Linked DNA regions of Anolis sagrei. The protein of the gene in region 2 interacts with the protein of the main gene of each other region in a biochemical or structural test. Links are inferred from orthologs where the notes say so. Each region holds a gene or a part of one and is shown on either strand. Other genes may lie near its edges. The genes, in order: KCNA4, DLG4, ADRB1 and RPS6KA1.

What was found.
Region 1: the proteins of DLG4 (region 2) and KCNA4 form a complex in vitro, tested with the Homo sapiens proteins (8 studies listed by BioGRID and IntAct, with this or other methods). The link is inferred for Anolis sagrei from reciprocal best matches to the Homo sapiens genes DLG4 and KCNA4.
Region 3: the proteins of DLG4 (region 2) and ADRB1 form a complex in vitro, tested with the Homo sapiens proteins (2 studies listed by BioGRID and IntAct, with this or other methods). The link is inferred for Anolis sagrei from reciprocal best matches to the Homo sapiens genes DLG4 and ADRB1.
Region 4: the proteins of DLG4 (region 2) and RPS6KA1 interact in a test that uses a peptide from one of them, tested with the Homo sapiens proteins (2 studies listed by BioGRID and IntAct). The link is inferred for Anolis sagrei from reciprocal best matches to the Homo sapiens genes DLG4 and RPS6KA1.

Annotation. Positions count from the first base shown.
Region 1 is NC_090021.1:259,341,719-259,349,679, reverse strand, and holds the start of KCNA4 (potassium voltage-gated channel subfamily A member 4), read right to left. Parts: upstream 3,473-7,961; 5' UTR 2,315-3,472; intron 1,286-2,314; 5' UTR 506-1,285; coding exon 1-505. UniProt on the Homo sapiens protein: Voltage-gated potassium channel that mediates transmembrane potassium transport in excitable membranes. Forms tetrameric potassium-selective channels through which potassium ions pass in accordance with their electrochemical gradient.
Region 2 is NC_090026.1:4,290,244-4,297,827, forward strand, and holds the start of DLG4 (disks large homolog 4), read right to left. Parts: upstream 3,241-7,584; 5' UTR 3,187-3,240; coding exon 3,168-3,186; intron 1-3,167. UniProt on the Homo sapiens protein: Postsynaptic scaffolding protein that plays a critical role in synaptogenesis and synaptic plasticity by providing a platform for the postsynaptic clustering of crucial synaptic proteins.
Region 3 is NC_090023.1:206,905,304-206,913,365, reverse strand, and holds the start of ADRB1 (beta-1 adrenergic receptor), read left to right. Parts: upstream 1-4,834; 5' UTR 4,835-5,397; coding exon 5,398-6,696; intron 6,697-8,062. UniProt on the Homo sapiens protein: Beta-adrenergic receptors mediate the catecholamine-induced activation of adenylate cyclase through the action of G proteins. This receptor binds epinephrine and norepinephrine with approximately equal affinity.
Region 4 is NC_090034.1:73,338,733-73,346,275, forward strand, and holds the start of RPS6KA1 (ribosomal protein S6 kinase alpha-1), read right to left. Parts: upstream 3,044-7,543; 5' UTR 2,920-3,043; coding exon 2,839-2,919; intron 1-2,838. UniProt on the Homo sapiens protein: Serine/threonine-protein kinase that acts downstream of ERK (MAPK1/ERK2 and MAPK3/ERK1) signaling and mediates mitogenic and stress-induced activation of the transcription factors CREB1, ETV1/ER81 and NR4A1/NUR77, regulates translation through RPS6 and EIF4B phosphorylation, and mediates cellular proliferation, survival, and differentiation by modulating mTOR signaling and repressing pro-apoptotic function of BAD and DAPK1.

The DNA.
Region 1 (7,961 bases), on a different chromosome or scaffold from region 2:
AAAACTCATCTTCACCATCTTCATCGCTGTAGTACAACTTGCGCTCATCTTCTTCATCTTCTCCATCATCTTCTTCTTCTTCTTCCTCCTCCTCCTCCTCCTCCTCACTCAAATCCTTAAGGATCTTTTCCTCAGAGCCACTTAGAGGCAGCAATTCAGAGCAAGGGAAAGATGAACCAAACTCCCTGCTGCCAAGACAGTGAGTCTTTTTCCTCCGATGTTTTCTTCTTCTGCCATTTTGACTATACCCACTGTGTGATGTGTTCCCACCACAGGAAGATGAGGAAGCCCCACGCCCCTGTTCCTGGTGGTAGTGATGATGGGGCCCTCCTCCTCCTCCAGAACCTGTTTCTACTGCTGCTGTTGCTGCTGCTACAGCTGCCGCCGCCGCTGCCCTGGACTGTGCCAGTCGCTCTCTTTCTCTGGCTCTTGCTTGGGCTGCATATCCATAAGGCATGTGGCTATTGCACCCAGAGCTCTCTGCGCTTACCATTGCAACCTCCATGTTGTATGTGCTTGTTTTTGAAGACTAAGAAGGAAAAAAGATGTCTGTTTTTTCAGCCTTTATCACTGGGTGCTTTGCATGAGAATGACAAGACCACTAAAGTTTGGAAAGCCATGTTTTCGAAAAAGTGTTGTCTCAGACTAGCAGCAGACTTGAGTTTTCACACCATAGATTTCTCAGAGGCAAGAGTTCCATTTCTTAGGTAGGGTCCAGAGGATTTTGACACAAAGATTCCTCAAGAATATTTTCACAGGTACAGTACAGAATCTTCTGAAGTAGCCAAACAATATATCTGGATGGTGTCCTTTTATCTGTGAAAACACATTGGCTAGGTCTTTCTTCAGAGCTTTATGAAAAATCCATAGCTCTGAGTTCATGGTGTTGAATGTTTTGCATCATGCAAACGATGCACTTAAGCAAATGAAGATGGGGCACAGGTTTTTCCCCCTCACAAAAGCTCTTGAGTTCTCGCATAATCACGTGCAAAACAGCCAGTATTCTCACAACAGCTTAGAAATGAGATTGCTGATTAATTTCTTTAGAAAGTTGAAGGAGCTTCCAGTTTTCATTTTGTTTACACAGTGAGGAGGTCTTAGCATAACCACATCCGTCAGTCTCTCAACAGTGTTTCAAACTGGGCAAAGCATTGGCTGGAACAGCAATTATGGAGAGAGAAGGTGGATGAGGAGGAGATGGTTGAAACACTGGTTCTTTGTTTCCCATTGGAGAGAAAGGAATGGAGCACCTTTCGGTTAGTCCTGTGCAGCAGTCATGTGTAACCTGAGGTACATACAGGAAAACAAAAAAATGGGGATGGGGAAAAGGATTGATCATAATCCAGATTAAGGTAATTCACATCAAAGGCTCAGATTTGCCTACTTGCACTACTCATCATTCCCTGTCATTGTGCACCCACATGCGGCACACACAATCTTTCTGTGTCTATGTTCATCTGACTATATATAGATGTAGTTAGAAGAATAAGCAAGCATACACACACCCACATCTCACTCAGAGTTTTTTAATATCTAGGGAGATGATTTTGAATACAAACCTAGACTGTGAAATGCAGGTATCTCTGCATTACATAATATATATAGAGATCTACTTGTGAACAACAACATGAGCATGAATGCAGAATAGATGTGATGACTATAACATAATGAGGTGCACAGCTTGTTGTGCTCTCTGTCTGCATTCACTGTTTCACACACAGTGCTTTTTATCACTAGAGAGAGATCTGGTCTGCCTCTGTTGCAGTGTGTGTTTACAGTGAGATATTTGCAGGAATAGCCCAACTGTGCTCTCTATGCCTGTATAATGGATTTAAAAAGGCTCTCCTGGATTGGTAGGAAACGGTTGTAGGTTAGTGATCAACCGTGGCTTTAAATTAATGGATGCGTACATATAATCAAGAGAAAAACATGGACAAATGCCACCCAGAATCCTTTTAGAACAAAGCGCTGCCCTTAATACATGTATCAACATGATGACAGTAAGCACACTGTGGGGAGAGAAGGCTCATCATACACTTTCTCAAATCAAGACCTGTCTTTGGGAAGGATGACCACATTTCTCCAGGGAGGAGAGAGAGAGAAAAAGCACAGAAACGGGCAGCATGAGGCAATATTAGAGCGAAGAGGTGGTGCTGCATGAGGAATCAAGCAGCCAGGCAACGGAGCCTCCCACATGCGAACTACCCATATTGAGGCTTTAAAAAAACAAGCATGCTTCAGAGACAAAATCTCCTTAAAACGAGATCTAAAATAGCCCCTAAGCTTCGAGGGAGGACCATCCCTGTCTACTTACCGCGGTAGGCAGAGAAAAGGCAGCGTTGAGGATCTGCAAAGCGAGAGAAGAACGGGCGGGGGGGGGGGGGGAGAGAGGGAGGGGAGGCTGTTCTGAGCAACCTGTTTTCACAGGTGCGGCGCTCAGGAGGAGGAGGAGGAGGAGGAAGGAGGGGAGCGAGGCAGAGGGGCGACGGCTTGGCTGGGCCTCCTTGGTGTGTGAGCCGCGGGCTGGAAGGGAAGGCAAGCCAGGGCACGGCCACCCCCAGGGTTGGTCCTAGGGGGCATTCCGGGCACGCTCCCGCCGCAGCTCACTTCGTCTTGCCTTTCCCGCTGTGCTTGACCCCATAGCCATCCCTGAGGGAAAGAAGGCATCCAACGCCGCCGCCGCCTCCCGCAGAAGCAGACTGGACTGGGCGAGATGGGCGGGAGCTGCTCGTGGCCCGGGGACCGGCCTCTCTCCCTCGCGCGCGCCTCTGCCAAGCAGTTGTTGCCAGCCAAGGCCTTGGGGAAGGCGCCCTCCTCCTCCTCCTCCTCCTCCTCCTCTCTCCCCGCTCCTCTCTCCCCGAGGAAAGCTGGCTGTTGCTACTGGCAGGAAAAGAGGAGACGCGCCTCGCAGACCCACGCCGCGCGCTGCCTTGCGGCCGTCCCCTCCTGCCTCCTCCTTCCCCGCTGCCTTGCGGTGGCTCGCTTCGCCCGATTTCGCTCCCGAGGCAATCGCGTCCACTTGTTGTTGCTGTTGTTTTGGTTGTTATTGTCGTGGCTGCCGCTCTGTTTCCGCGCGTGCCTCCTCTTCTCCTCGGAATAATCTTGGTCAGGGTGGGAGGGAGGGAGGGAGGGGGCCGTTCGGGGAGCCGGAGGGAGGGGGCCGCTCCTTGAAGGCGCTGCTCCTGCTGCTGCTTCCTCCTCCTCCTCCTCCTCCTCTTCTTAGGATGCTCCCGTGCCGCCTCCTGCGCCTACGCTGCTTTGCGCGCTCTGTTGCGCCTGGCCTCTCTCTCTCTCTCTCTCTCTCTCTCTCTCTCTCTCTCTCGCCCGCTCGTCGCCCTCTCCCTCTCTCTCTCCCTCCCTCCCTCCCTTTCCCCGATACACCTTCGCTCGGGAGAAGGAGTCGCCTGCCCAAGTCGCAGTTGTGTTTACGCATCCGCTGATGGACAGAACGGCGGGGCTCGGTCTGATTGATTCCGCAGGTTTGCTAGCTCTCCATCGGCCCCTAGCGGTCAGCCGCCTCCTCAGCACCTGCCACCCTTTTCCTCCCCAACCCCAGCACCGCCCCACGTACAGATTGTGCCCCCTTTGTCTGGTCCTCTCATCACACTAGAGCAGGGGTCCACAAACTGTTTAAACATAGGGCCAGGTCACAGTCCCTCAAACTGTTGGAGGGCCGGATTATAATTTGGAAAAAAAATGAATGAATTCCTATGCACGCTGCACATATCTTATTTGTAGTGCAAAAAATACTTAAAACAATACAATAATTAAAATGAAGAACAATTTCAACAAATATAAAATTATTAGTATTTCAATGGGAAATGTAGGCCTACTTTTGGCTGATGAGATAGGATTGTTGTTGTTGTTGTGTGCTTTCAAGTCGTTGACCCTGAACAAAGGCCGGGTAAAAGACCTTGGAGGGCCACATCCAGCCCCTGGGCCTTAGTTTGAGGACCCCTGCATTAGAGAATGGATCCACTTCAAATCCGGTTTCTGCCTCCTGCAGAATTCTGCGGGTTGTAGTTTAGTGAGGCTGTTAAAGGCTCCTTCCTAAACTACAAACCACAGAGTTCTGCAGGACGCGGCAACCGTATTTATTTATTTATTTATTTATTGCTTATTTACAGTATTTATATTATTATTATTATTAATAATAATAATAATAATAAAGGCGAACAGCAAGATTGTATACTCTCACCCAACCTATTCACCTTTCATGCAGAATACGTCATGCGATGTGCAGGGCTTGACAAATGCAAGGCTGGGGTTAAAATTGCTGGAAAAAACATTAGCAACCTTATCAATCAATCAATCAATCAAAACTTTATTTCTACCCCGCCACCATCTCCCCAATGGGACTCGGAGCGGCTTACATGGGGCAATAAAATCAATAAAGCAATAAAATCAAAGCATATAAAACAAACAACAACAACATTATCAAAATGACATTAAAATAAAATAAACATTCCAATAAACACAAACATGGTAGTGATGACAATGGGCAGGCCACATATTTCAGATAAAAACAGTTAACAAACAAACAAACCTTAGATATGCAGCTGATACCACTTTGATGGCCGAAAGCGAGGAGGAGCTGAGGAGCCTCTAATCAAGATGAAAGAAGAAAGCACAAAAGCCGGTTTGCAGCTAAACATCAAAAAAACCAAGATTGTGGCAACAAGAATGATTGACAAGTGGGAAATAGAGAGGGAAAACATGGAGGCAGTGACAAACTTTGTATTTCTAGGTGCAAAGATTACTGCAGATGCAGACTGTGGCCAGAAAATCAGAAGACGCTTACTTCTTGGGAGGAGAGCAATGACCAATAAAATAGTGAAGAGTAGAGACTTCTCACTGACAATGAAGATCCACATAGTTAAAGCAATGGTATTCCCCATAGTCACCTATGGATGTGAGAGCTAGACCATAGGGAAGGCTGAGCGAAGGAAGATAGATGCTTTTGAACTGTGGTGTTGGAGGAAAATTCTGAGAGTGCCTTGGACCAAGAGAAGATCAAGCCAGTCCATACTTCAGAAAAAAAAGCCTGACTGCTCATTGGAGGGACGGATAGTAGAGACAAAGATGAAGTACTTTGGCCACATCATGAGAAGAAAGGAAAGCTTAGAGAAGACAGTGATGCTGGGGAAAATGGAAGGAAAAAGGAAGAGGGGCCAACCAAGGGCAAGATGGATAGATGGCATCCTTGAAGTGACTGGCTTGACCTTGAGAGAGCTGGGGGTGGTGATGGCTGACAGGGAGCTCTGGCGTGGGCTGGTTCATGAGGTCACAAAGAGTCGGAAGTGACTAAACGAATGAACAACAACACTTCCTTTATATTCCACCCTTCTCACCCCAAAGGGGACTCAGGGCAGATCACAGTACACATACACGGCAAACATTCAATGCCACTTTGTATAGACAATACACAGAACAGAAGGAGGTGCCATGGAGGTTGAGCTCAAGCCCAGGGGATGCTGTTGCTCTATCCTCTATGACGAAGAGCCATTAGGACTTCCTTCTTTTGGTCGCCCAGCATTTTCTGATCTTATTTCTTTATGGCATCATAAAACACCTCCCCCACTTTTAGCGGTACCTAATTTCTCTAATCACAGCTAAAGCTGTTTTCAAATTGCTTAGGTAAACAATGAGCTAGGCTAACAGTTGGCAGCTCACACCAACCCAGGGCTTCGAACTTGCAACCTTTTGGTTGATAGATCTTATAATTACTGATGTTTTCCCAGCTGTGCTTAACCTCCGGCCCATATATTCCGCCCTTCTCACCCTAGGCTGGCTTCAAACTCATGACCTCTTGGTCAGTAATGATTTAATGCAGCTGGCTACTAACTAGCTGTGCCACAGCCCAGTCCATGAAGTGGATTCATTCTCTAGTCTAGTGTGATGAGGCCTCAAGGCTTTCATGGCTAGAATCACTGGGTTTCTGAGAGTTCTCTGGGCTGTATGGCCATGTTCCAGAAGCATTCTGTCCTGGTGTTGAGGGGTCTGGTGGAAACTAGGCAAGAGGTTTGTGTGTGTGTGTCAGGAGCCACTTGAGAAACTGCAAGTCACTTCAGGTGTGAGAGAATTGGCCATCTGCAGAGGGGGCTCAGCCTGCTCTCCCTGGATTCAAACCAGTGACCTATTGGTCAGCAGTCCTGCCAGGACAAGGGTTAAACCCACCAGGGGCACCAGGCAAGTGAGGTTTATATATCTGTGGAATGTCCAGGATGAGAAAGAACTCTTGTCTGCTTGAGGAAATTGTGACGGTTGCAATTGGCCACCTTGATTAGCATTTTAATGACCTTGTAGCTTCAAAGACTGTCTAGTTGCTGCCTAGGGAAATCCTTTGTTGGGAGGTGTTAGGTGGCCTTGATTGATTTTTGCATGGAATTCCCCTGCTTTTTTAGTGTTGTTCTTTATTAACTGTCCTGATTTTAGACATTCACATCTGCCTCAAGCGGACAAGAGTCCTTTCTCCCACCCTGGACATCATTCCACAGATATATATACCTCACTTGCCTAGTTTCCAATAGAGTCTTCAACCTCTGAGGATGCCTGCCATAGATGTGGACAAAACATCAGGAGAAAATGCTTCTGGAACATGGCCATACAGCCTGGAAAACTCCCAGCAACACTGTGCCTCTTTTGTCTGAAATGCTTGTGACCAAAAGTGTTTCATGTTCCAGGGCTCCCCCCCCCCCCCCCCGAACACTTGCATATCTTCATGGGTGATCACTCCTTTCCAGGTATGACTGTCGTCCAAGAGTAGAGACAAAACAGTGGGTTCATAAGTGGCCGTGAAGACCTATTTTGGATCCACGTGGTGGGACCAGTCCCAGATTTGCCATTGTGTTTAGTGGTGTAGAAGTACAGGGACCCCTTTCTGCTAAAACAAATATTGACAGTTTCTGAGCCATTCCAGGCATAATGATAGAGTTGATAGTCTATGGGAGTGTGACACGAAGCAGTCAGTGGAGGCCTGCTGGGCCAACCTCCTTCAGGACCCAAGGAAGGACCCTCCTAACTGAACTAGCACATGGCCTCATTTGTCCTAAATCCAGCACTGAGTGAGACCCAAGCCTTCTAGATTCTGCACCTTACATGCATCATCTGAAGGTAACTGCCTACAACAGACATGCACAGCACTGTAGTAGGGAGGGGCCAAAATTAAACTAGGCTAAACTTTTTCAAACACAGGTTTTTAGCATCTCACCAAGCTACTACTACTAAGAATCCATAGCATTGAGACATTGGAGTTAAAGTGGTGTCAAATTGCATCCATTCTACTATAGAATCTATCTGCAGGTGCATTGTAGATGCACCCTTAATGTGCCCTAGGAAATGAATGACCAGCTCTTCTACCATTCCTCACACCTCCAGGATTTCTGATAGGTTTCATCAGGCTACAAACCATGTATGTGTGTAGAATAGCACCTGGTAACCAGGGATTGTGGTAGCCTGTGGTGCCCTGAGCTTTCAAGCAGTGGCTGGATGGACGCCTGGAGCCCCTGAGGCTTGAAGGGGTGGCATCTATACAAGGTAGCTTGGGAGAGTCAGAGTGTGATGTCAAGCAACTGGAAGGGCTGGCAACAGGGGAAGTGGTGAGAGTAGCAGCCTCTTTAAGAGGTCGAGAATCCTTTGGCAGACTACAAGTAGCCCACGGGCCATTTGTTGTGCAGGTCTGGCCTAATTTTTTTTCAATAATATTGTCCAGGATGCAAAGTTTGTGTACACTGAACCATAAGAAAGCAAAGATATCACTATTGGACCCACTCACCTAGAGGATTTCAGATGTTGAAGTATTTTGCATTTCTAAATTCCAGATAAGGGATACTCAACCTGTATTAATCTATTAATTATTGGAATAAAGATTCTAAACTAAATTATAAATTGTCTTTAATAAGAACATTCCAATTAAAAAGCTCAAAAGCTCTGATTTTAAAAAGATAAAATTTGGACCATTG
Region 2 (7,584 bases):
CTCTCTAATCTGTCAAGATCGTTTTGAATTCTGCTCCTGTCCTCTGGAGTATTGGCTATCCCTGGCGGTCGAGGGGCATTTACAGAGGCTCCTCTGCACCCCTGGCAAAAAAAAAGTGTTTTGCGACCGCTTACTTCGCATAATGGACGAGCCGCCCCTGGGCGAACAGCAATCAATGGGGAGCTTTCTACGGTTTCATCTGAACGAATCCCTGAATTCAGTGCAAGAAGATGCCGTAAATACGGAACACGGCTCTGCATTTAGAGCAGAACAGACTGATCTACAAATATAGGGCGGGTGGCACATGGCTGCACAGCAGAACACGGCAAAAGGATGCCTTCGTCAACCGAGAAGGAAAAAAAGCCATTGACTGATATTGTAAGGCTGCAAAAGGAACATAAAGCCCATTGAAATGGTCCAAGCTCCTCTGGTACCTCACCAAACTACAAATCCCATGGTTCCATTGCTTACAAATCGCATGGTTCCATTGTTTGACACCTGATTCCACCTTAAATGGGTCCCTTTGGGAGCCATGGCTGTCCAAGTCTTGGATAGGAATGTGACCAAAAGTTAGAGAAGTAGCTACATTGGGGAATGGATTCATGAAATTATAGAGTGGAAGTGTTAGCAATAAATTATCAATAACTTTAAAGCAGTGGTTCTCAACCTTCCTAATGCCACGACCCCTTAATACGGTTCCTCATTTGTGGTGACCCCCAACCATCACATTATTTTCGTTGCTACCTCCTAACAGTCTTTTTTCTACTGTTATGAATTGTAATGTAAATATCTGATCTGCGGGATGTATTTTCATTCACTGGACCAAATTTGGCACATATACCCAATACACCCAAATTTGAATGCTGGTGGAGTTGGGGGGAATTGATTTTGTTGTTTGTGAGTTGTAGTTGCTGGGATCTATAGTTCACCGACAATAAAAAAGCATTCTGAACTCCACCAATGATGGAATTGAACCAGCCTTGGCACACAGAACTCCCATGACCAAGAGAAAAGACTGGAAGGGTTTGGTGGGCATTGACTTTGAGTTTTGGAGTTGTAGTTCACCTACATCCAGAGAATGCTGTGGACTCAAACAATGATGGATCTGGACCAAATTTGGCACAAATATTCAATATGAACACTGGTCGAGTTTGGGGAAAATAGACCTCGCCATTTAGGAGTTGTAGTTACTGGGATTTATAGTTCACCTACAATCTAAGAGCATTCTGAACTCCACCAATGATGGAATTGAACCAGCCTTGGCACACAGAACTCCTACGACCAAGAGAAAAGACTGGAAGGTTTTGGTGGGCATTGACCTTGGGTTTTGGAGTTGTAGTTCACCTACATCCAGAGAGTGCTGTGGACTCAAACAATGATGGATCTGGACCAAATTTGGCACAGCTACTCAATATGCCCAAATGTGAACACTCGTGGAGTTTGGGGGAAATAGACCTTGGCATTTGGGAGTTGTAGTTGCTGGGATTTATAGTTCACCTACAATCAAAGAGCATTCTGAACCTGACCAACAATAGAATTGGGTCAAACTTCCCACACAGAATCCCAATGACCACCAGAAAATACTCTGTTTTCTGATGGTCTTTGGCGACCCCTTTGACACCCCCTCACGACCCCCTCAGGTGTCCCGACCCCCAGGTTAAGAAACACTGTCATAAGGCATAAATCATAACTTTTTTTTTGCAATTTAGTTTCGAGTCCAAAGAAAACATAGCAAACTAAGTTGGATGATTGATGATATACATCTCGTTCAGTCATAGAATCCTAGAGTTGGAAGAGACCTCATGGGCCATCCAGTCCAACCCCATTTTGCCAAGAAGCAGGAAAATTGCATTCAAAGCACCCCCGACAGATGGCCATCCAGCCTCTGTATGAAAGCCTCCAAAGAAGGAGCGTCCACCACACTCTAGGGCAGAGAGTTCCACTGCTGAACAGCTCTCACAGTCAGGAAGTCCTTCCTAATGTCTTTCAATCCAAATTTGATGGGGATGATGGGAATTGGAGTCCTACCCTATGGACTTTGGGAAATGTTTGGGTTGAGGGATCAATGGTTTAACAATCCAAGATTTATACTATTATTGTATTGTCAAAGGCTTTCATGGCAGGAATCATTGGGTTGTTGTAGGTTTTTTTGGGCTATATAGCCATGTTCTAGAGGCATTCTCTCCTGACATTTCCCCTGCATTTATGGCAAGCATCCTCAGAGGTAGTGAGGTCTGTTGGAAGTAGGAAAAGGGGTTTATATATCTGTGGAATGACCAGGGTGGGACAAAGGACTCTTGTCTGCTGGAGCTAGGTGTGAATGTTTCAACTGACCACCTTGATGCACCAACAAGCCACACCAAACAACAGCCAGGCCATCAAATGCTAATCAAGGTAGTCAGTTGAAACATTCACACCTAGCTCCAACAGACAAGAGTCCTTTGTCCCACCCTAGTCATTCCACAGATATATAAACCTCGTTTCTAGTTCCAACAGACCTCACTCCCTCTGAGGATGCTTGCCATAGATGCAGGCGAAACGTCAGGAGAGAATGCCTCTAGAGCATGGCCATATAGCCCGGAAAAAACATACAACAACCCAACAAGGACATCTAATCACCTCTCAGCAAAAGTTTGCTCCAGGCACTGTCAAGCCATCAAATGCTAATCAAGGTGATCAGTTGAAACATTCACACCTAGCTCCAGCAGACAAGAGTCCTTTGTCCCACCCTGGTCATTCCACAGATATATAAACCCCTTTTCCTAGTTCCAACAGACCTCAATACCTCTGAGGATGCTTGCCCTAGATGCAGGCGAAACGTCAGGAGAGAATGCCTCTAGAACATGTCCATGTAGCCCAAAAAACTCTATTATTATTCTGCTGTATGGATAACATGATCAATCAATGTCCCAATCAACTGCACACAAGAGAGCAAGGAATTGATATCTCAAGTAATTGATCCACGTTGTTTGCTATTGGTCGGGTACTCCCCTGGGATAGTTTCTCCCTATCCATATTGGTACCACATCACAGCATGCCATAATGTCCCTAAGGGAAAATTGCACCCCAAACCCCAAATATATTCTGAATATATCCCCCCCCCCATTTGCCAAAGAGGGGGACAAATAATAATAATCCACAAAAGGCGAACCCGGCCTCGGCCTTACCTTGTCTGTTCACGGGCATCTCGCAGGCGGTTTGTACATGTACAACCTTAATCTCCTAATCTCCCTTCCCAAACATCTGCCAGCTTAAGAGATTTGCCCAGCAGATTGCAACCTCTGACCCGTCTTCCTCCGCTCCGAGGCATCCTGGGATGTGTAGTTCTTCTCTCTTGACCCCTCCGAAGTTACTCTCACACAGCTGTTTTCCGGTTCAGAAAGTTGGACGTGAGGTTTCTGAAAATCAGTTCCTGCCAAAGCCTGCCCTGTTTTGTAACGGCATTTGTGGCATGTTCAAAAGGCAGGCTTATTATTATTATTATTATTATTATTATTATTATTAGGTACACAAGATGGATGGATGGCATCCTTGAAATGACTGGACTGACCTTGAAGAAGCTGGGGGTGGTGACGGCCGACAGGGAGCTCTGGCGTGGGCTGTTCCATGAGGTCACGAAGAGTCGGAGACGACTGAACGAATGAACAACAACAACACACAAGATGAGTGCACAGCAAACAAGATCACTCTGCTGGCTGTATCGGCGAATAATGCATGTAGATCCCAGTAAGATGGCCTTTTGCAGCTGGCAGATGGTAATCTTGTCAGAGCCGATTGTGTTTAAGTGCAGGCCAAGGTCTTTAGGCACTGCACCCAGTGTGCCAACCACCACTGGGACCACCTTGACTGGCTTGTGCCAGAGTCTTTGCAGTTCCATCTTTAATTCCTCATATCATGTCAGCTTTTCCAGTTGTTTCTCTTCAATCCTGCTCTCACCTGGGATTGCGACATCGACAATCCATACTTTGGTTTTTAACACAATTGTGAAGTCAGGAGTCTTGTGGTCCACAACTCTGTCAGTCTGAATCTGGAAGTCCCAGAGGAGTTTGGCGTGTTCATTCTCTGTAACTCTTTCCGGCTTGTGATCCCACCAGTTCTTTGTCTCAGGTAGATGGTGTTTGTGGCACAAGTTCCAATGGATCATCTGAACATCGGTGTTGTGCCTCTGCTTGTAGTCTGTCCGCGATCTTCTTGCAGCAGCTGAGGATGGGATCTATTGTTTCAGCTGCTTCCTTGCAGAGTCTACACTTGGGATCTGTCATCGACTTTTCAATTCTGGCTTTGATGGCCTTGCTTCGAATGGCTTGTTCTTGGGCTGCCAGAATCAGGCCCTCCTTCGTCTCCTTTTTCAAAGTCCCATTTGTGAGCCACAGCCATGTTTTTTCTTTGTCAATTTGACTCTCAATTTTTCCCAGGAACTGTCCATGGAGAGCCTTCTTCTTTCGCCAGTTTTCTCTTCTGCTCTGGGTTGTGTTTTTACAGTATTCACTCTTTGTCTTTTGCACTTTGAGCAGTTTTCTGCTATTGACTTCCCTCAATGTTGGTTCTTGATTGCCTTTCACATAATCTTCCAGTGCGTGTTCCTCTTCTTCTACCGTTTGTTTCACTTGCATTATTGTTGTTGTTGTTGTTATTATTATAATATTATTATTACCTTAAGAACAGACAAGCATCCCGAGCTCTGAGGATTACCTGGGAAGGAATCCCACTGGAGCATTGCAGCACACCCAAATTCCTGGGAGTCACTTTGGACCGTGCTCTGACCTACAAGAAGCACTGCCTGAACATCAAGCAAAAAGTGGGCGCTAGAAACAACATCATACGAAAGCTGACTGGCACAACCTGGGGATCACAACCAGACACAGTGAAGACATCTGCCCTTGCGCTATGGTACTCTGCTGCTGAGTATGCATGCCCAGTGTGGAACACATCTCACCACGCTAAAACAGTGGATGTGGCTCTTAATGAGACATGCCACATTATCACAGGATGTCTGCGCCCTACACCACTGGAGAAATTACACTGTCTAGCCAGTATTGCACCTCCTGACATTCGCTGGGAAGCAGCAGCCAATAGTGAAAGGACCAAGGCAGAGACATCTCCAGCTCATCCCCTGTTTGAGTATCAGCCAGCATGTCAATGACTTAAATCAAGACATAGTTTTCTTAGATCTACAGAGACACTCGCTGGAACACCTCAGCAAGCGAGAGTCCAAAAGTGGCAGGCCCAAACCCAGCACCTCAATCCGTGGATGATACCAGATGAGAAACTCCTTCCTGGGCACACAGAAGACTGGGCGACTTGGAAGGCGCTGAACAGACTGCGCTCTGGCACCACGAGATGCAGAGCCAATCTTAAGAAATGGGGCCACAAAGTGGAGTCCACAACATGCGAGTGCAGAGAACAAACCACTGACCACCTGCTGCAATGCAACCTGAGCCCTGCCACATGCACAATGGAGGACCTTTTTTCGTCAATACCAGTGGCCAGATACTGGTCAAAGGACATTTAACCAACTACCAAGTTTGCAAAATCCGTGTTTTTTTTTTCCCTTTTCCCTTTTTAATCTGTGTGTTTGTTTTGTTCTGTTAGAATTGTAATACAATGGTATGGTTGCTGATGACACGATAAATAAATAAATAATAACAATAATAATAATAATTATTATTATTATTTGAAACACAAGATTATTACACAGCAGCCAGAGCCCCCGGTGGCGCAGTGGGTTACACCCCTGTGCTGGCAGGACTGAAGACCGACAGGTCGCAGGTTTGAATCCAGGGAGAGGCGGATGAGCTCCCTCTATCAGCTCCAGCTCCTCACGCGGGGACATGAGAGAAGCCTCCCACAAGGATGATAAAACATCAAATCATCCAGGTGTCCCCTGGGCAACGTCCTTGCAGACGGCCAATTCTCTCACACCAGAAACGACTTGCTCCTGACATGACAAAAAAAATTACACAGCAAAGGTCACTCTGCTGGCTGTTGTATTGGATCACACGTCGGACCCTTCCCAAGTGTCTAGGACGGTGTGTATTGGCAAATAATGTGTGCAGATCCGAGTCAGGTGGCCTTTTGCAACCGACAGATGGTAAATTTGTCAGCACCAATTGGTTTTAAGTGCAAGCCAAGGTCTTTAGGCAATGTACCTAGTGTGCCGATCACCACTGGGACCCCCTTGATTGGCTTGTGCCAGAGTCTTTGCAATTCTTTAAATCCTCATATCGTGTAAGTTTTTCCAGTTGTTTTTCATCAATTTCGCAGTCACCTGGCATTGCAATGTTGTTGTTGTTGTTGTTAGACATTTTAGGTATCTTCAAAAAGCAAGCTTAGATGATGATGATGATTATTATTATTATTAAAGGAAGGCTTATATTATTATTATTTGAAACACAACAACATTCCTATGCTGGTTTTTGTATTAGATCACATGTCAGACACTTTCCAAGTATCTAGGACTGTGTGATGCATCGGCAAATAATGTGTGCAGATCATAGAATCCTAGAATCAAAGAGTTGGAAGAGACCTCCTGGGCCATCCAGTCCAACCCCATTCTGCCAAGAAGCAGGAATATTGCATTCAAATCACCCCTGACAAATGGCCATCCAGCCTCTGCTTAAAAGCTTCCAAAGAAGGAGCCTCCACCACACTCCGGGGCAGAGAGTTCCACTGCTGAACGGCTCTCACAGTCAGGAAGTTCTTCCTAATGTTCAGATGGAATCTCCTCTCTTGTAGTTTGAAGCCATTGTCCCATTGCGTCCTAGTCTCCAGGGAAGCAGAAAACAAGCTTGCTCCCTCCTCCTCCCTGTGGCTTCCTCTCACATATTTATACATGTCTATCATATCTCCTCTCAGCCTTCTCTTCTTCAGGCTAAACATGCCCAGTTCTCTAAGCCGCTCCTCATAGGGCTTGTTCTCCAGACCCTTGATCATTTGAGTCGCCCTCCTCTGGACACATTCCAGCTTGTCAATATCTCTCTTGAATTGTGGTGCCCAGAATTGGACACAATATTCCAGATGTGGTCTAACCAAGGCGGAATAGAGCATGGGGAGCATTACTTCCTTAGATCTAGACACTAGGCTCCTATTGATGCAGGCCAAAATCCCATTGGCTTTTTTTGCCGCCACATCACATTGTTGGCTCATGTTTAACTTGTTGTCCACGAGGACTCCAAGATCTTTTTCACACGTACTGCTCTCGAGCCAGGCGTCACCCATTCTGTATCTTTGCATCTCATTTTTTCTGCCAAAGTGGAGTATCTTGCATTTGTCACTGTTGAACTTCATTTTGTTAGTTTTGGCCCATCTCTCTAATCTGTCAAGATCGTTTTGAATCCTGCTCCTGTCCTCTGGAGTCTTGGCTATCCCTCCCAATTTGGTGTCGTCTGCAAACTTGATGATCCTGCCTTCTAGCCCTTCATCTAAGTCATTAATAAAGATGTTGAACAGGACCGGGCCCAGGACGGAACCCTGCGGCACTCCACTTGTCACTTCTTTCCAAGATGAAGAGGAAGCATTAGTGAGCACTCTCTGTGTTCGTCCACTTAAGCAATTCCAGATCCACCTCACCGTAGTTCTGCCTAG
Region 3 (8,062 bases), on a different chromosome or scaffold from region 2:
GATATATTTACATATAATAAGAGTATCTGCAGGGTTATGTCATCTGCACATTTAGGTGAGCACGAGACTGGCATGAGAATCAACATTGCCTGACCCAGAATTTAGCTGAAGAAACAGGAAGGAAGAAAAGAAAAAAAGCACTCTGTTTTTGGCTGCTAGAAGTGTTGCCAAACAACAAAACTACCCCACCACACACTTGCTATTTCTTGCAACCTGTTTCCTCATATATAACCACTTTGCACCTCAAGCAAGGGATAAAAGTGTGATACAAATATAATAATAATATCAACAATATTAGGAGTAGAAATTTGTCAACAAAATGATTTTTACCACTATTCACCACTGAGTCTCTTCAGATAAAAAAGTAGTATGTAAACAAAAAGGAGGAAAAAGAGGAAGAAGGAAGAGAAGGAGAAGAAGGAAGCAGGTGTAGTAGTTCTTAAGGCCCCTTCTATCCTGCCATATAATCCACATTATCTGGATTGAACTGGATTACATGAGTCTACAAAGCAGATAATCTAGATTTTATATGGCAGTGCAGAAGGGGCCCAAGAAGAAAGATTCCATTTGGGGGCTTAGAGAAATAGTAAGCAAAGGTGTGTATGGACACAATAATAAACATCAGGTGTGTATAAAGTGCTGCATGATACACAAAAAGTGTGGAAGCCAGTGTGATTCTGGTCCCTTCTACACAGACATATAAAATCCAGATTATCTGCTTTGAACTGGATTATTATTATTATTATTATTATTATTATTATTATTAAGGAAACTCAAGACTTGGCTGTGGGACCTTGCATTTGACCATTGAAAAGAGGCTTATATGAAGAAGACATAAGCAATTTCGAAGTGACAATGAATTGACCCGGACCCAGATTTTAATTGGCGTGTTTTAACAACTGTTTGCTTAATGTTTTGTTTTAATAAATTTGTTGATTGTTTTTATCATTATGATGGCACCAAATGGTGTTTGCTGTGAGGCTGTCCTGAGTCCCCCCTAAGGGGGGGGGGGTGAGAAGGACAGGTTACAAGTATATGAAATAAATCAATAAATCATATGGCAGTGTAGACTCATATAATCCAGTTCAAGCCAGATAATGTGGATGATATGCTTTGATAATCTGGATTATATGGCAGTATGGAAGGGGCCACAGTGATTTCAGAGTTGCGGTAGGACTGTAAGAACAGAGTTCAAATCTACAAATGGCATGGATATCCACTGGATGACCCTAGACAAGTCACAATCTCTTGGCCTAAGAGGAAGGCTAAGACAAACCTCCTCTGAACAAATCCTGTAGAGCCAGTGTTTTGTAGTAGTTTGAATATTACAGCCTTATCACACAAGGCAAAATAAGCATCCTAGGACACTTCTGCCCCAGTTCAACCATGGAGCCCCACACTGCCCATCATATGACATCGGGCGACTTCTGGTGGGGCTTCATTGATGAACTGGGGCATCAGTGTGGAAGGACTACTACAAACACAAAGGTAGCCCCATGTTCCATAAGAAACAACACATGGGATGAGGAAGCATCAGTTGCTGGCTGGGGCTCCGGGATTGCCCCAATACTACCCTGATTTGCCATGGATGCTGGCGAATCACAATCCTGGTAAGACAGCATGTGATGAGGTCCTTAGACTGTGTACAGACCAGGATTTGAATCCCTGATCTGTCATGGAAACCCTCTGGATGGCCTTGGGCAAGTCACATTCCCTCACTATCTTAGGAGAAAGCAACCTCAGAAGGTAAGCTTCCCAATAATGCCATAGCACAGCAATCGTCTGGTTAATTACACATTTGTGTGTGGGGAGGGGGGGGAGGGAGGGAGAAAGATTGTGTGACTAGTGTTGCAGTCAGACCTCTTTATATGTGAGGACTCAGTTCTGCAGATAGGAAGAAAACCGAATCCTCTCTTTTAAACTTGTCCATAATTACTGATAGTCATCAGAGGGCTTGATGCATATCTTGCCACCAAGGATGTATCCATGACTAGACTTTTTCTTTCTCAGCATCTTCATCATGTAAATCCCTCCCTTGGTGCTTGACCTTCTCTTTATCATACCATAAACGGGCAGCTAAGACTATTTGATTCGGTTGGCATTTAAAATGAGAACCAGCCTGGTATAGTAGTCTGAGGACTACACTTGACTTGAAGCCATGGAAACCCACCGGGTGATTTCGAGCAAGTCATACTCTTTCCATCTCAGAGGAAGGCAAAGACAAACCTCCTCTGAGCAAACCTTGCTAGGAAAACCGTAAGATAAATTTGCCTTAGGGTTGCTGTAAGTCAGAAAGGATTTGAAGGCACATAATAACGTAACTAAATGTTGCACTACTAGATCTTAAAATGGGGAACATTCAGTGCATCCATAAGGAAGACTTGCAGCAGCAACAACAAACATCCAAAGGGAGTCAGGGCGTTTTTCTCCCTATAATAACATCAATCATATTGCTAATTTGAATGGTGATAGTAATGATTAACTTTCTAGCCTGCCTTTTCCCTCAGAATCAGGACTAAAAAGGGGGGCTAACCTTGCAACAGAGGCTCATTTCAAGAAGCGCAATGATGAAGCATTCATTCAGGGCAGGTAAACAGAAATCCTTCCACAGCTCCTTCCTAAATGCTTCCCCCAAGATTTGTTTGGATGGCTTTTAATGGTGTTGGGAGGAACAGCAAGAAGAGCTGAGGTTGGTGGAGAATGCCTGTGGCTCTGGGATGCCTTCAGGATCTCAATTAAAGCTTGTGCACCAGTTGCACCTGTATCTTGAGAAGCCAGACCCACGCTCTTGTTACATCAAGAATAGATTACTGCAATGCACTCTATGCAGGGTTGCCTTTGAAGACTGTTCAGACGTTTCAAATAACCCAAAGGGCAGCAGCCAGATTCCTCACTGGAGCGGGGTATAGGGAGCACACAACCCCTCTGTAACGTCAGCTCCACTGGCTGCCAGTCTGCAACAGAGCACAATCTGAAGTGCTGGCTTTATCCTATAAAGCCCTGAATGGTTCTGGCCCAGCTTACCTGTCAGGGCCTTCTAAGTGGTGGCTCCTCGACTCTAGAATTCTCTCCCCAGTGAGATTAGATCAGCCCCCTCCCTCCTGACTTTTAGAAAGAGAACAAAGACATAGGACCAAGCTTTTGACTGGTAAAGTAATGCAGTACAAGAAGTAAATATGGAATATGTGCAATTGACATTTGCTGGAAGGGAAGGGAAGGGAAGGGAAGGGAAGGGAAGGGAAGGGAAGGGAAGGGAAGGGAAGGGAAGGGAAGGGAAGGGAAGGGAAGGGAAGGGAAGGGAAGGGAAGGGAAGGGAAGGGAAGGGAAGGGAAGGGAAGGGAAGGGAAGGGAAGGGAAGGGAAGGGAAGGAAGGAAGGAAGGAAGGAAGGAGAGGAAGAAAAGAGAGAAGGAAGGAAGGGTGGAATGGAATGAAGGGAGGGAGAAAGAGGGAGGGAGGAAAGAAGGAAAGACAAAAGGGAAGGAAGAAGGAAGGAAGGAAGGAAGGTAGGAAGAGGGGGGGAGAGAGAAGGAAGGACAAAAGGGTGCAAGGGAAGGATGGAAGGAGAGGAAGGGAGGAAAGAAAGAAGGAAGGAAGAAAGGGTGGAATGGAATGAAGGGAGGGAGAAAGAGGGGGGAGGAAAGAAAGAAGGAAAGACAAAAGGGAAGGAAGGAAGGAAGGAAGGAAGGAAGGAAGGAAGGAGAAAGAGGGAGAGAAAAGGAAGGAAGGACGAAAGGATGGAAGGGAAGGATGGAAGGAGAGGGAGGGAGGGAGGAAAGAGAGAAGGAAGAAAAGTTGGAATGGAATGAAGGGAGGGAGAAAGAGGGAGGGAGGAAAGAAAGAAAGAAAGACAAAAGGGAAGGGAAGGGAAGGAGAAGGAAGGAGAAAGAGGGAGAGAGAAAAGGAAGGAAAGATGAAAGGGTGGAAAGGAAGGATGGAAGGAGTGGGGGAGGGAAGGGAGAGAAGGAGGAAGGAAAGAGAAGGAAAGACAAAAGGGAGGGAAGGAGGAAAGGGTGGAAGGGAAGCGAAGGGGAGAAAGGAAAGAGAGAAGGAAGGAAGGAAGGATGAAAGGATGGAATGGAGAGAGGGAGAAAGGAAAGGAAGGAAGAAGGAAAGGATGGAAGGGAAGGAGAATAGAGAGGGAAGGAGGAAGAAAGCGAGAAGGAAGGAAGGATAGGCTGTTGAGCGAGAGGAGGGCCTGAGAAAGGGCCCAAGGGCCCACATCTGGTCCCCAAGCCTGGGTGTGCCCATACCTGGGCTATATAGCCTCCTTTGCCCAAAGGGTGCTGCTGTGTCTCACAAAGATCTCACAGCATGGAGCTATGGCTGTCAAGTTGCATCCCTTCAAGCCTGGAAAGGCAGCCTGAAGCAGCACTAACTGCCGCCTCCACTGCAACTTAGCAAACCGGGGGGGGGGGGGGGGGTCAGCCATAAAGAACTGTGCTGTCCCTAGGTTTGGCTCCAGGGGGAGGACGAGGGACAGGAGGAGGAGGATGAGGAGGACAGAAGAGGGCGCATTCAAGGGCATTCATTCGGCCACCAGAGCTGAAAGCGAAAGGCTTCCAGAGAGGGAGGGGGGAGAGAGAGAAAGAAGAGGAGAGGGACAGAGAGAGAGAGAGAGAGAGAGAGAGGAGGGAAGGAAAGCAATACAGGGATAAAAAGTGAGAAGGGGAGAGAGAGAGAGAGAGGAGGGAAGGAAAGCAATACAGGGATAAAAAGTGAGAAGGGGAGAGAGAGAGAGAGAGAAAGAAGGGGAGGCACACTGAGAGTGTATGTGCATGAAGGAGAGTGGGGGGTATAGACGAAGGGGGAGGTGAAGGACAGAGTGTGAGAGAAGAAGGGAGCGGGAAGGACAGGAAAAGAGGGCCAAGAGGGACCTAGAGATAGGCAGACGGGCAGGCGCAGAGAGATAACGCTTCCGAGAGAAACGTGGACTCCAGGGCGAAGGCAACGCTCTCCTCGAGCCCTCGTGGGCGCCTGGAGCTGCCTTCCTCCTGGTCTCCCTCTCCTCCTCCTCCTCCTCCTCCTCCTCCTCCCTCAGCCCCCCTTCTTCCAGAGGAACCCCTTCAGTCCTGCCTCCCCCTCCCTCTCTCCCTGCCTGAGTTCTCCGAGGGCTCGCCATTGGCTGCCCGGGTGCCGACGTCACTGGAGGGGGCGGGAGGCGTCTTCAGAGGCGCGGGAGCCCGCCGGAGAGGCTGGCTCGCGCAAACCATGCTGGAGCCCCGGAGCAAGTGGCGGCGGTGGAGGCGGCGTCGGAGGCGCTCCCAGCAGCGGCAGCAGCTGCTGCCAAGAGCCCGGCTCTCTTCCTCCTCCTCCTCTTCCTCCTCCTCTTCTCCTTCCTCCTCTTGGATGATGCCCTGAGCGGCCGGACCCCTCTTGCTGCTCTCCGCCGGACAGCCATGGGAGATGGCTGGGTCTTCCTAAGCGAGAGCCTCCAGAACCGGTCCAACTCCAGCGGTGCCCAAGGCAACGCCTCGTCCGCGCCCAGCCCGGGCGCCTTGCCCCTGGCCCCCAAGGAGCTGTCCCAGCAGTGGGTGGTGGGCATGAGCCTCCTCATGTCCCTGATGGTGACCTTCATCGTGGTGGGCAACGGCATGGTCATCGCGGCCATCGGGCGCACCCAGCGCCTCCAGACCCTCACCAACGTCTTCATCACCTCCTTGGCTTGCGCCGACCTGGTCATGGGATCCGTGGTGGTGCCTTTTGGGGCCACGTTGGTGGTGCGTGACACCTGGCTCTGGGGCTCCTTCCTCTGCGAGTGCTGGACCTCGGTGGACGTCCTCTGCGTGACGGCTAGCATCGAGACCCTCTGCGTCATCGCCATCGACCGCTACTTAGCCATCACCTCGCCTTTCCGCTACCAGAGCCTCATGACCAAGAAACGGGCCAAGGTCATTGTCTGCGTGGTCTGGGCCATCTCGGCCCTGGTCTCCTTCCTGCCCATTATGATGCAGTGGTGGAGGGACGACGACCCCGAAGCCTTATTGTGCTACGACGACCCCGGCTGCTGCGACTTTGTCACCAACAGGGCCTACGCCATTGCCTCCTCCATCATCTCCTTCTACGTCCCGCTCTCTGTGATGATTTTTGTCTACATCAGGGTCTACCGAGAAGCCAAGGAGCAGATGAAGAAGATCGACAAGTGCGAGGGGCGTTTCTACAACAACCACCACCAAAAGCAGCAACACCAACAGCCGCCAACCCACCAGCAGCTGCCTATCCTGGGCAACGGTCCGGCCACCAGGAGGAAAACCTCCCGAATCTTGGCCGTACGGGAGCAGAAGGCCCTCAAGACCTTGGGCATCATCATGGGGGTCTTCACTCTGTGCTGGCTGCCCTTTTTCTTGGTCAATGTGGTCAAGGTCTTCAACAGAGGGCTGGTTCCAGATCAGCTCTTTGTTTTCTTCAACTGGTTGGGTTACGCCAACTCCGCCTTCAACCCCATCATCTACTGCAGGAGCCCTGATTTCCGGAAGGCCTTCAAGAGGATGCTGTGCTGCCCAAGGAAAGTGGACCGGAGGCTGCATGCCACTACTGGGGATCTCTCTCGGTACCCGGGGGGCTTCATTAGTACTCTCGGAGATACTGCCCCATGCACTCTTGGAGGGACGTGGTCCGATTACAATGGTGGTGCCCGGGATGGAAGTGACTCCAGCTTAGAGGACAGGAACAGTAAAACCTCCCATTCAGAATCCAAGGTATAAGGGCAGTTTGGTGGGAAGGATCAGAGTTCGTGGTCAGTCCTGTGGAAACGGAAAGGGAGCTGAAGGAATAGACAGAACAGGAAGGAAGGAATAACTAAATCACTTGGGAGTCTGGCTAATGTACAAATCACCTGATTGACTTGCCATTATGGGGGAGAGAGTTGTATTTATCCTAGAGGGAAAGCAGGTGAACTTGGCTGTTCCATACCTCTTCTGAATCACCCGAAATGGAAGCAAACAGAGAGCATCTGGCCATTGAACAAAAGAGGTTAATGATCCACCTCCCACCCCCATCCCAACCTCCAAGATATTTGGATTATTAGTATTTACATGGAGGAGAGTTGCATGGAGAAACGGGGAGGGAGGCGTGAGTAAGTTTGAAGGAGTTTGCCAAACAAATGGCTTGTGAAGAGCTGGACTTGTAGCAGGCACTTAGGCTGAAAGTCACTGAAGGAGGCAACCAGGGTGTGTATTCCTTTGCCAATAATGGAAGGAAACATCATTGAGCCCTTGGTGGTTTGATTGGAGACTATGCTGGTTTTACAAAAAATGTTCTTTACATTTATCCCAAGAACTTAGCACAAAAAGTAGCCTCTTTTCAAAACATATATCGATATGTATCCTTTTCTGAGAAGTGCTGGTCACCCATATAAATCCATTGATACCAGCATGACTTTCGTGCAGGCAGTCAAAACCTTTTGCAAATCCATTCTAAAAGGCTCCTTTAATATGCTGTCGGGGGTAAATACCTTGGCGAGTTTTATCATGAGCCTGTGCGTATTTAGCAGAATTGAGTTGATGGAAGTTACCCTCAAGTAAATGTGCATTAGCTTACAGCCTTAATATCCTCGTGGCCACATTCTCCTTAACATCCTAGGAGGAAATGATCAATCAGTAATATTGACATGTTGTGTATTCTAATCAAGTATCTCCTTATTTCTGATCCATATTATATCCCATTGACTTGTGGGGTGGGGTGGGGGCTGAAGGTGCATTCTTCTTGTCCTACGAGACAACAGCAATCAGGCTACAAATTGTCTACCTCAAGCTGTGCATATTGTACAGGGGAAAACGTGTTTATATTAAACCGCTTATTTATGTCTTGTCAGTTAGGGGTTTGTTTTGTTTTCCATAGAGACAGAAGCATCCATCCTCTAGTAATCCCTTCATTCACGCTGAAAGGTGAGAGGGGAAACTGGGCTTGGAGCATTAAAAATATTGGGTTGTTGTGTGTTTTCCAGGCTGTATGGCCATGTACCAGAAGCATTCTCTCCTGATGTTTTGCCTGCATATATGGCAGGCATCCTCAGAGGTTGTGAGGTCTATTGGAAACTTGGAAAATTGGGTTTATATGTCTGTG
Region 4 (7,543 bases), on a different chromosome or scaffold from region 2:
TCTTTCCCTCCTTCCTTCCCTCCCTCCCTCTTTCCTTCCTTCCTTCCCTTCTTCCTACCTTCCCCCATTTTCTTCCTCTTCTGCTTTCTCTTTTCTTCTTTTTCTCTTTCCTTCTTTCCTTCCCTCCTTTTCTACATCTTCCCACCTTCCTTCGCTCCCTCTTTCTTTCCTTGTTTCCCTTTTTTCTTTCCGTCTCTCCTTCCTTCTCCTTTTTTCTTTCCTTTCTTTTCCTCCTTTTCTTCCTTTTTTTCTGTATTGTCATGTAGCTTTTCATCATTTAGCTTTTTGGGACTTTTGTTTTTTGGTGTTTTTATGAGTGAAGGACATACATTGGGTTGTTAATGTATTATGTCCAAATTTGGTGTCAATTTGTCCAGTGGTTTTTGAGTTCTGTGAATATCACAAACGAACATTACATTTTTATTTATATAGATGTGTTTGTGTGTGTTTAGCTGGAGTTACACTTAAGTGGCTGAGGGGGAAAAGGAAGGGGCCTGAGGCTGTTAGGAATGGTGGGAGTTGAAGTCCAAAACACTTGGAGGGCCAAAGCTGGCCCATGCCCGAGATATATATGTGTTTGTGTGTGTTTAGCTGGAGTTACACTTAAGTGGCTGAGGGGGAAAAGGAAGGGGCCTGAGGCTGTTAGGAATGGTGGGAGTTGAAGTCCAAAACCCTTGGAGGGCCAAAGTTGGCCCATGCATATGTATATGTGTGTGCATGTTTAGCTGGAGTTACACTTAAGTGACTGAGGGGAAAAAGAATGGGGTCTGAGGCTGTTAGGAATGGTGGGAGCTGAAGTCCAAAACACCTGAAGGGCTCAAGTTGGCCCATGCCTGATACATTTGTGTGTGTGTGTGTGTGTGTGTGTGTTTAGCTGGAGTTACACCTAAGTGGCTGAGGGGGGAAAGGAAGGGGCCTGAGGCTGTTAGGAATGGTGGGACTTGAAGTCCAAAACACTTGGAGGGCCAAAGTTGGCCCATGCACTATATATATATATATGTGTGTGTGTGTGTGTGTGTTTGTGTGTGTGTGTATGCGCGTGTGTTTAGCTGGAGTTACACCTAAGTGGCTGAGGGGGAAAAGAATGGGGTCTGAGGCTGTTAGGAATGGTGGGACTTGAAGTCCAAAACACTTGGAGGGCCAAAGTTGGCCCATGCACTATATATATATATGTGTGTGTGTGTGTGTGTGTTTGTGTGTGTGTGTATGCGCGTGTGTTTAGCTGGAGTTACACCTAAGTGGCTGAGGGGGAAAAGAATGGGGTCTGAGGCTGTTAGGAATGGGGGGACTTGAAGTCCAAAACACCTGAAGGGCTCAAGTTGGCCCATGCCCGATATATATATGTGTGTGTGTCTGTGTATGTAGCTGGAGTTACACTTAAGTGGCTGAGGGAGAAAAGAATGGGGTCTGAGACTGTTAGGAATGGTGGGAGTTGATGTCCAAAACACCTGAAGGGCTCAAGTTGGCCCATGCCTGATATATATATATGTGTGTGTGTGTGTGTATGTTTAGCTGGAGTTACACCTAAGTGGCAGAGGGGGGAAAGGAAGGGGCCTGAGGCTGTTAGGAATGGTGGGAGTTGAAGTCCAAACACTTGGAGGGCCAAAGTTGGCCCATGCCATATATATGTGTGTGTGTGTGCGTGTTTAGCTGGAGTTACACCTAAGTGGCTGAGGGGAAAAAGGAAGGTGTGTGTGTGTGTGCGCGTGTGTTTAGCTAGAGTTACACCTAAGTGGCTGAGGGGGAAAAGAATGGGGTTTGAGGCTGTTAGGAATGGTGGGAGTTGAAGTCCAAACACTTGGAGGGCCAAAGTTTGCCCTTGCCCAATATATATATATATATGTGTGTGTGTGTGTGTGTGTGTTCAGCTGGAGTTACACCTAAGTGGCTGAGGGGGAAAAGGAAGGGGCCTGAGGTTGTTAGGAATGGTGTGAGTTGAAGTCCAAAACACCAGAAGGGCTCATTGGCCCATGCCACACACATTGGCCCATGTGTGCGTGTGTGTTTAGCTGGAGTTACACTTAAGTGGCTGAGGGGGAAAAGAATGGGATCTGAGGCTGTTAGGAATGGTGGGACTTGAAGTCCAAAACACTTGGAGGGCCAAAGTTCGCCCATGCCCCTAAGTGGCTGAGGGGGAAAAGGAAGGGGGCTGAGGCTGTTAGGAATGGTGGGAGTTGAAGTCCAAAGTTGGCCCATGCCCGATATATATATATATATGTGTGCGTGTGTGTGTGTGTGTGTGTTTAGCTGGAGTTACACCTAAGTGGCTGAGGGGGAAAAGAATGGGGTCTGAGGCTGTTAGGAATGGTGGGACTTGAAGTCCAAAACACTTGGAGGGCCAAAGTTCGCCCATGCCCCTAAGTGGCTGAGGGGGAAAAGGAAGGGGGCTGAGGCTGTAAGGAATGGTGAGACTTGAAGTCCAAAACACCTGAAGGGTTAAAGTTGGCCCATGCCTGATATATATGTGTGCGCGCGTGTGTGTGTATGTTTAGCTGGAGTTACCCTTGAAGAAATGTACCTGTTCTGAATTACGTACATATGCAACTTAAGCACAACCCTTGTTTGTAACCTGGGGGCTCCTTGCCCCTCTCAATGAGCCAGGCAAGGCTTTCCAGTTGCTCAACTCTTTCCAAACCCAGGAAGGTAGGCAGGCAAGGAGGACGCCAGGGCTCTTACAGGGAAGGACACGATAGGGATCGATAGGGTCGATGCAGAGGGTCGGGTTACTCTAATGACGGTGGAGGGAGGGGGGATAGGAGAGGGAAGGGTCCGGCCTGGCGGGGCCTTGCTCCCGGGGGTCCGCGGCGCCCCCTCTTCCCTCCCTCCGTGCTTGCCTACCTCGGCCTCGTCCAGCTCCATGTCCACCAGCTCCATGTTCCCCTCCGGCCAGGGCTCGGCTCCCAGCTGCGCGAGCGGCATCGCGGCGGCCTCTTCCTCCGAGCGGGAGCCGCAATGCCTGCCTGTCTTCCCGCCGAAGCTGAGGGAGAGAACGAAGCTGCTCTCTTCTTCCCGCCAGACCGCAGCGTCTGTGCGGAACTCCTGCTGGAAGGAGGGGATAAGTCTGGGAAGCCACGCCCACCGTCCGCCCAGAGGCGGGGCCTAGAGACTCAGGCATGGGATGTCATGCCCACCGCCCGCCTACAGGCGGGGCCTAAGTCTGGGAAGCCACGCCCACCCTTTGTCAAGAGGCGGGGACTACAGACTCAAGCTTGGGAGGCCACGCTCACTGTCCTTCAAGAGGCGGGGCCTAGGGGCTCAAGGCTTGGAGGACACGCCCACCACCATCTCAAACCTGGAGCGCCACTCCCACAGTCCTTCAAGAGACTCAGGCTTAGGACGCTTCAAAAGGCTGTGGGCTTGGAGGACACGCCCACTATCCTTCAAGAAGCTCCGGCTTGGGAGGCCACGCTCACCATTCGCCTACAGGGGGAGCGCCACGCTCACATTCCTTCAAGAGGCGGGGCCTACAGCTTTGAGGACACGCCCACCGCCATTCCAGAGGCGGGTCCTAAGGCTGGAGCGCCAACCCACAGTCCTTCAAGAGGCGGGGCCTAATAGCTCAGGGCTGAGAGGCCACGCCCACTGCCCGCCCACAGGCGGGGCCTAGATTTGGAGCTACTTCCAGATTCCCGCCAAGAGGAGGCGCCCAGCCCAGGCAACCATGAGGCCAATGGGTTGTTGTAGGTTTTTCCGGGCTATATGGCCATGTTCTGGAGGCATTTTCTCCTGACGTTTCGCCTGCATCTATGGCAAGCATCCTCAGAGGTAGTGAGGTCTGTTGGAAGTAGGAAAAATGGGTTTATATATCTGTGGAATGACCAGGGTAATGTTTCAGCTGATCACCTTGATTTGCATTCAATGGCCTGGAAGCGCCTGGGGGGAATCTCTTGTTGAGAGTGAATTGATGTGCCTGATTGTTTACTCTCTGTTGTTTTGCTGTTGTAATTTTTGAGTTTTTTAATACTGGTAGCCAGATTTTGTTCATCTTCATGGTTTCCTCCTTTCTGTTGAAATTGTCCACATGCTTGTGGATTTCAGTGGCTTCTCTGTGTAGTCTGACATGGTGGTTGTTGGTGTGGTCCAGCATTTCTGTGTTCTCAAATAATATGCTGTGTCCAGGTTGCTTCATTGGGTGCTCTGCTATGGCTGATTTCTCTGGTTGAAGCAGTCTGCAGTGCCTTTCATGTTCCTTGATTCGTGTCTGGGCAATGCTGCGTTTGGTGGTCCCTATGTAGACTTGTCCACAGCTGCATGGTATAAGGTAGACTCCTGCAGAGGTGAGTGGATCCCTCTGTCCTTTGCTGAACGTAGCATTTGTTGGATTTTCTTGGTGGGTTTGTAGATTGTTTGTATGTTGTGTTTCCTCATCAGCTTCCCTATGCGGTCAGTGGTTCCCTTGATGTATGGCAGGAACACTTTTCCTCTGGGTGGATCTTCATCTTGACTCTCGTGGCTTGTTCTTGGTCTTGCAGCTCTTCTGATTTCTGAGGTGGAGTATCCATTGGCCTGTAGAGCCCAGTTGAGGTGGCTCAGTTCATCTTGGAGGCCAATGTTGGACTGCACCTTCCAGCATCCACCAGGAGAAGAAGCCTAAAGCTGCACTGCCACCCCCCTAAATCCCCCATAAGGAGGAGAAGGGGGACCCCAGGGTAAGGCTGCCACTGGCCCTGGGGTCGAATTGCCAGCTCCAGGAACTTCTCAGGAGCCCAAGGCTGAACTGCCACTCCCAGCAACCTCCAAGAGAGGGGTCTCCTGCAGGGTTCTGGGATTTGTAGTTTAGTCAAGCCTGGGGTTTCTGTGGCTGGGGATTTTTAAGGCTCCTCCCTCACCAGCAAATCCCAGGAGTCTGCAATAGGCAGCCTTGGGATTTAAAGTGGGGAGTCCACTCCTGAAAGCAGGGGTCCTCAAACGTTTTGAACCAAGGACCAAATCAGACTGCTGGGTTCCAGCTTGAAAAAATGGAATGAATTCCTCAGCACAGTGCACTTGTTTTGTAGTGCAATGCAAGAAAACCATGAAAGAACAATCTATCTTCTATCTATATATATATAAATGCTCTGTGCATAATGAGTACCTTAAAAATAAAAGAACCAATGAACAAAATCACACCAAATTTGACAACAAAATGTTTCACAATCCAAGGAGTGACCATCACTCAAACAATTATGATTTTGTCATTTGGGAGTTGTAGTTGCTGGGATTTACAGTTCACCTACAATCAAAGAGCATTCTGAACTCCATCAATGATGGAATTGAACCAAACATGGCACACAGAACTCCCTTGACCAACAGAAAGGGTTTGGTGGGCATTGACCTTTGGTGGCCATTGACCTTGAGTTTGGGAGTTAACCCACAATCAAAGAGCATTCTGAACTCCATAAACAATGGAATTGATCCAAACTTAGCATGCCGAACTTGTGTGACCAACAGCAAATACTGGAAGGGTTTGGTGGGCATTGGCCTTGGGTTTTGGAGTTGTAGTTCACCTGCATCCAAAGAGCACTGTGGACTCAAACAATGATGGATCTGGATCAAACTTGGTACAAGCACTCAATACACCCAAATATGAACACAGGTGGAGTTTGGGGTAAATAGACCTTGACATTTGGGAGTTGTAGTCACTGGGATTCAAAGTTCACATACAAAGAGCATTCTGAACCCCACAAACAACAGAATTGGGGCAAACTTCCCACACGGAACCCCCATGACCAACAGAAAATACTTAAGGCTATCCAATCCAACTCCCTTCATCAGGGCAACAAAACGTAATCAAAGCCCTCCAGACAAAGAGCCATCCAGCCATAGATATAGATGGATGGATAGATAGATAGATAGATAGATAGATAGATATGATTCACACACACACAGATATAGTATCATAGATTTCAAAGGGACCCTTAAAGAAGGACAATGATATATTGCATGTTCCAGGATGGGCAAACCAGACACTCTCCACATCAACACTGACAAAGAAACAGCAAGAAATATTGTTTACCCACAAGCATAAAGAAATTACATATATTAGAAACCACCACTTTCTCATTACTTTATTTTCCAGATCAACAGACTGGGTCACAGCAATGCATGGCAGGGGACAGCTGGATTTCAATGGCTTCTCCAACAACCAACATGTCAGACTACACAGAGAAGCCATTGAAATCCACAAGCATGTGGACAATTTCAACGAAAAGGAGGAAACCATGAAAATGAACAAAATTTAGCTACCAGTATTTAAAAAACTCTAAAATAAGAACAGCACAACAACAGAGAGGAAACAAACAAGGACATCTAATCACCTCTCAACAAAAGATTGCTCCAGGCACTGCCAAGCAATCAAATGCTAATCAAGGTGATCAGTTGAAACATTCACACCTAGCTCCAACAGACAAGAGTCCTTTCTCCCACCCTGGTCATTCCACAGATATATAAACCCTTTTTCCTAGTTCCAACAGACCTCACTACCTCTGAGGATGCTTGCCATAGAAGCAGGTGAAACGTCAGGAGAAAATGCCTTTAGAACATGGCCATATAGCCCGAAAAAAGCCTACAACAACCATAAAAAAGATGCAATACAGTTTTAGGGAGTTATAGCTACTACTGTTTCGTTCTCGATGATCTTGAACTTTGCCCAGTTCCAAACCTTCAGAAAGGGCTTTTAATAAAAAAGAAAAGGAAGAAATCATATATTTATTTCGGTGCTCTTGATGAACTATAAATTTTCCCAAGAGGGGCAGATTTACTGTGGCTCAATAACAGAGATCATCCTTGGAAAGAGTTCTGAGATCCCTGGTTTAACTGCTGGGAAATCAACAAACTAGAGGTCAAGTGTGTCAACTGCAAATAGAGGAAACAGTTTAAAACAAATCATTCCTTTTGAATTACTCCAAAGGCACAAGGCAGATAGTATATCTGTTGCCTAGTTGTCAAGGTCATTCTTGGTATTATGAAGAAGTTAATGGCCAGCGTCCACTGAGTTAATGGGACAGACACGTGCCTGCAAATGCACCCCAGAACAGCTTTGGGGAGAAGCACGAAACTGTTCTGTTCCATTTCCACCCCTTCATTAATCGCTTGGATTATCTCAAGCTTCAATCTCTAGCAAACTGGCACATTGACAATACACCTGACAACGATAATGGAGAATTCAAGCATTTGAAGCTCAGTTTGAATCACAAGTGAAATCCTGATGCACTTTGATTCAGCACAGTGCCAGAAAGACGAAGCAGGTAAACAGATCATAAAACACAGATGATTATGCAAACGTCTCCAACCTGGCACTCTTCCAGTGACGGTGGACTACCACTCCCATCATTTCACCCAGCAGGCCAAAGGCTGGATTAGTATGGATGTAGTGTGCTTAGTGGGTATTTCTCTTGCTTATTGTTACCAAAGTGAATAAGAAAGGTTTTCTTGGCAGAACTTAAAGCCTATTCATTCTATTGATTTACTGCATATGATCATAAAAGCAATGGCAGGATAAAAACATTTGAAATAGATATTACCGCTGCTGTTAATAAGTTACAACTGATGCCAATTTTCCAAT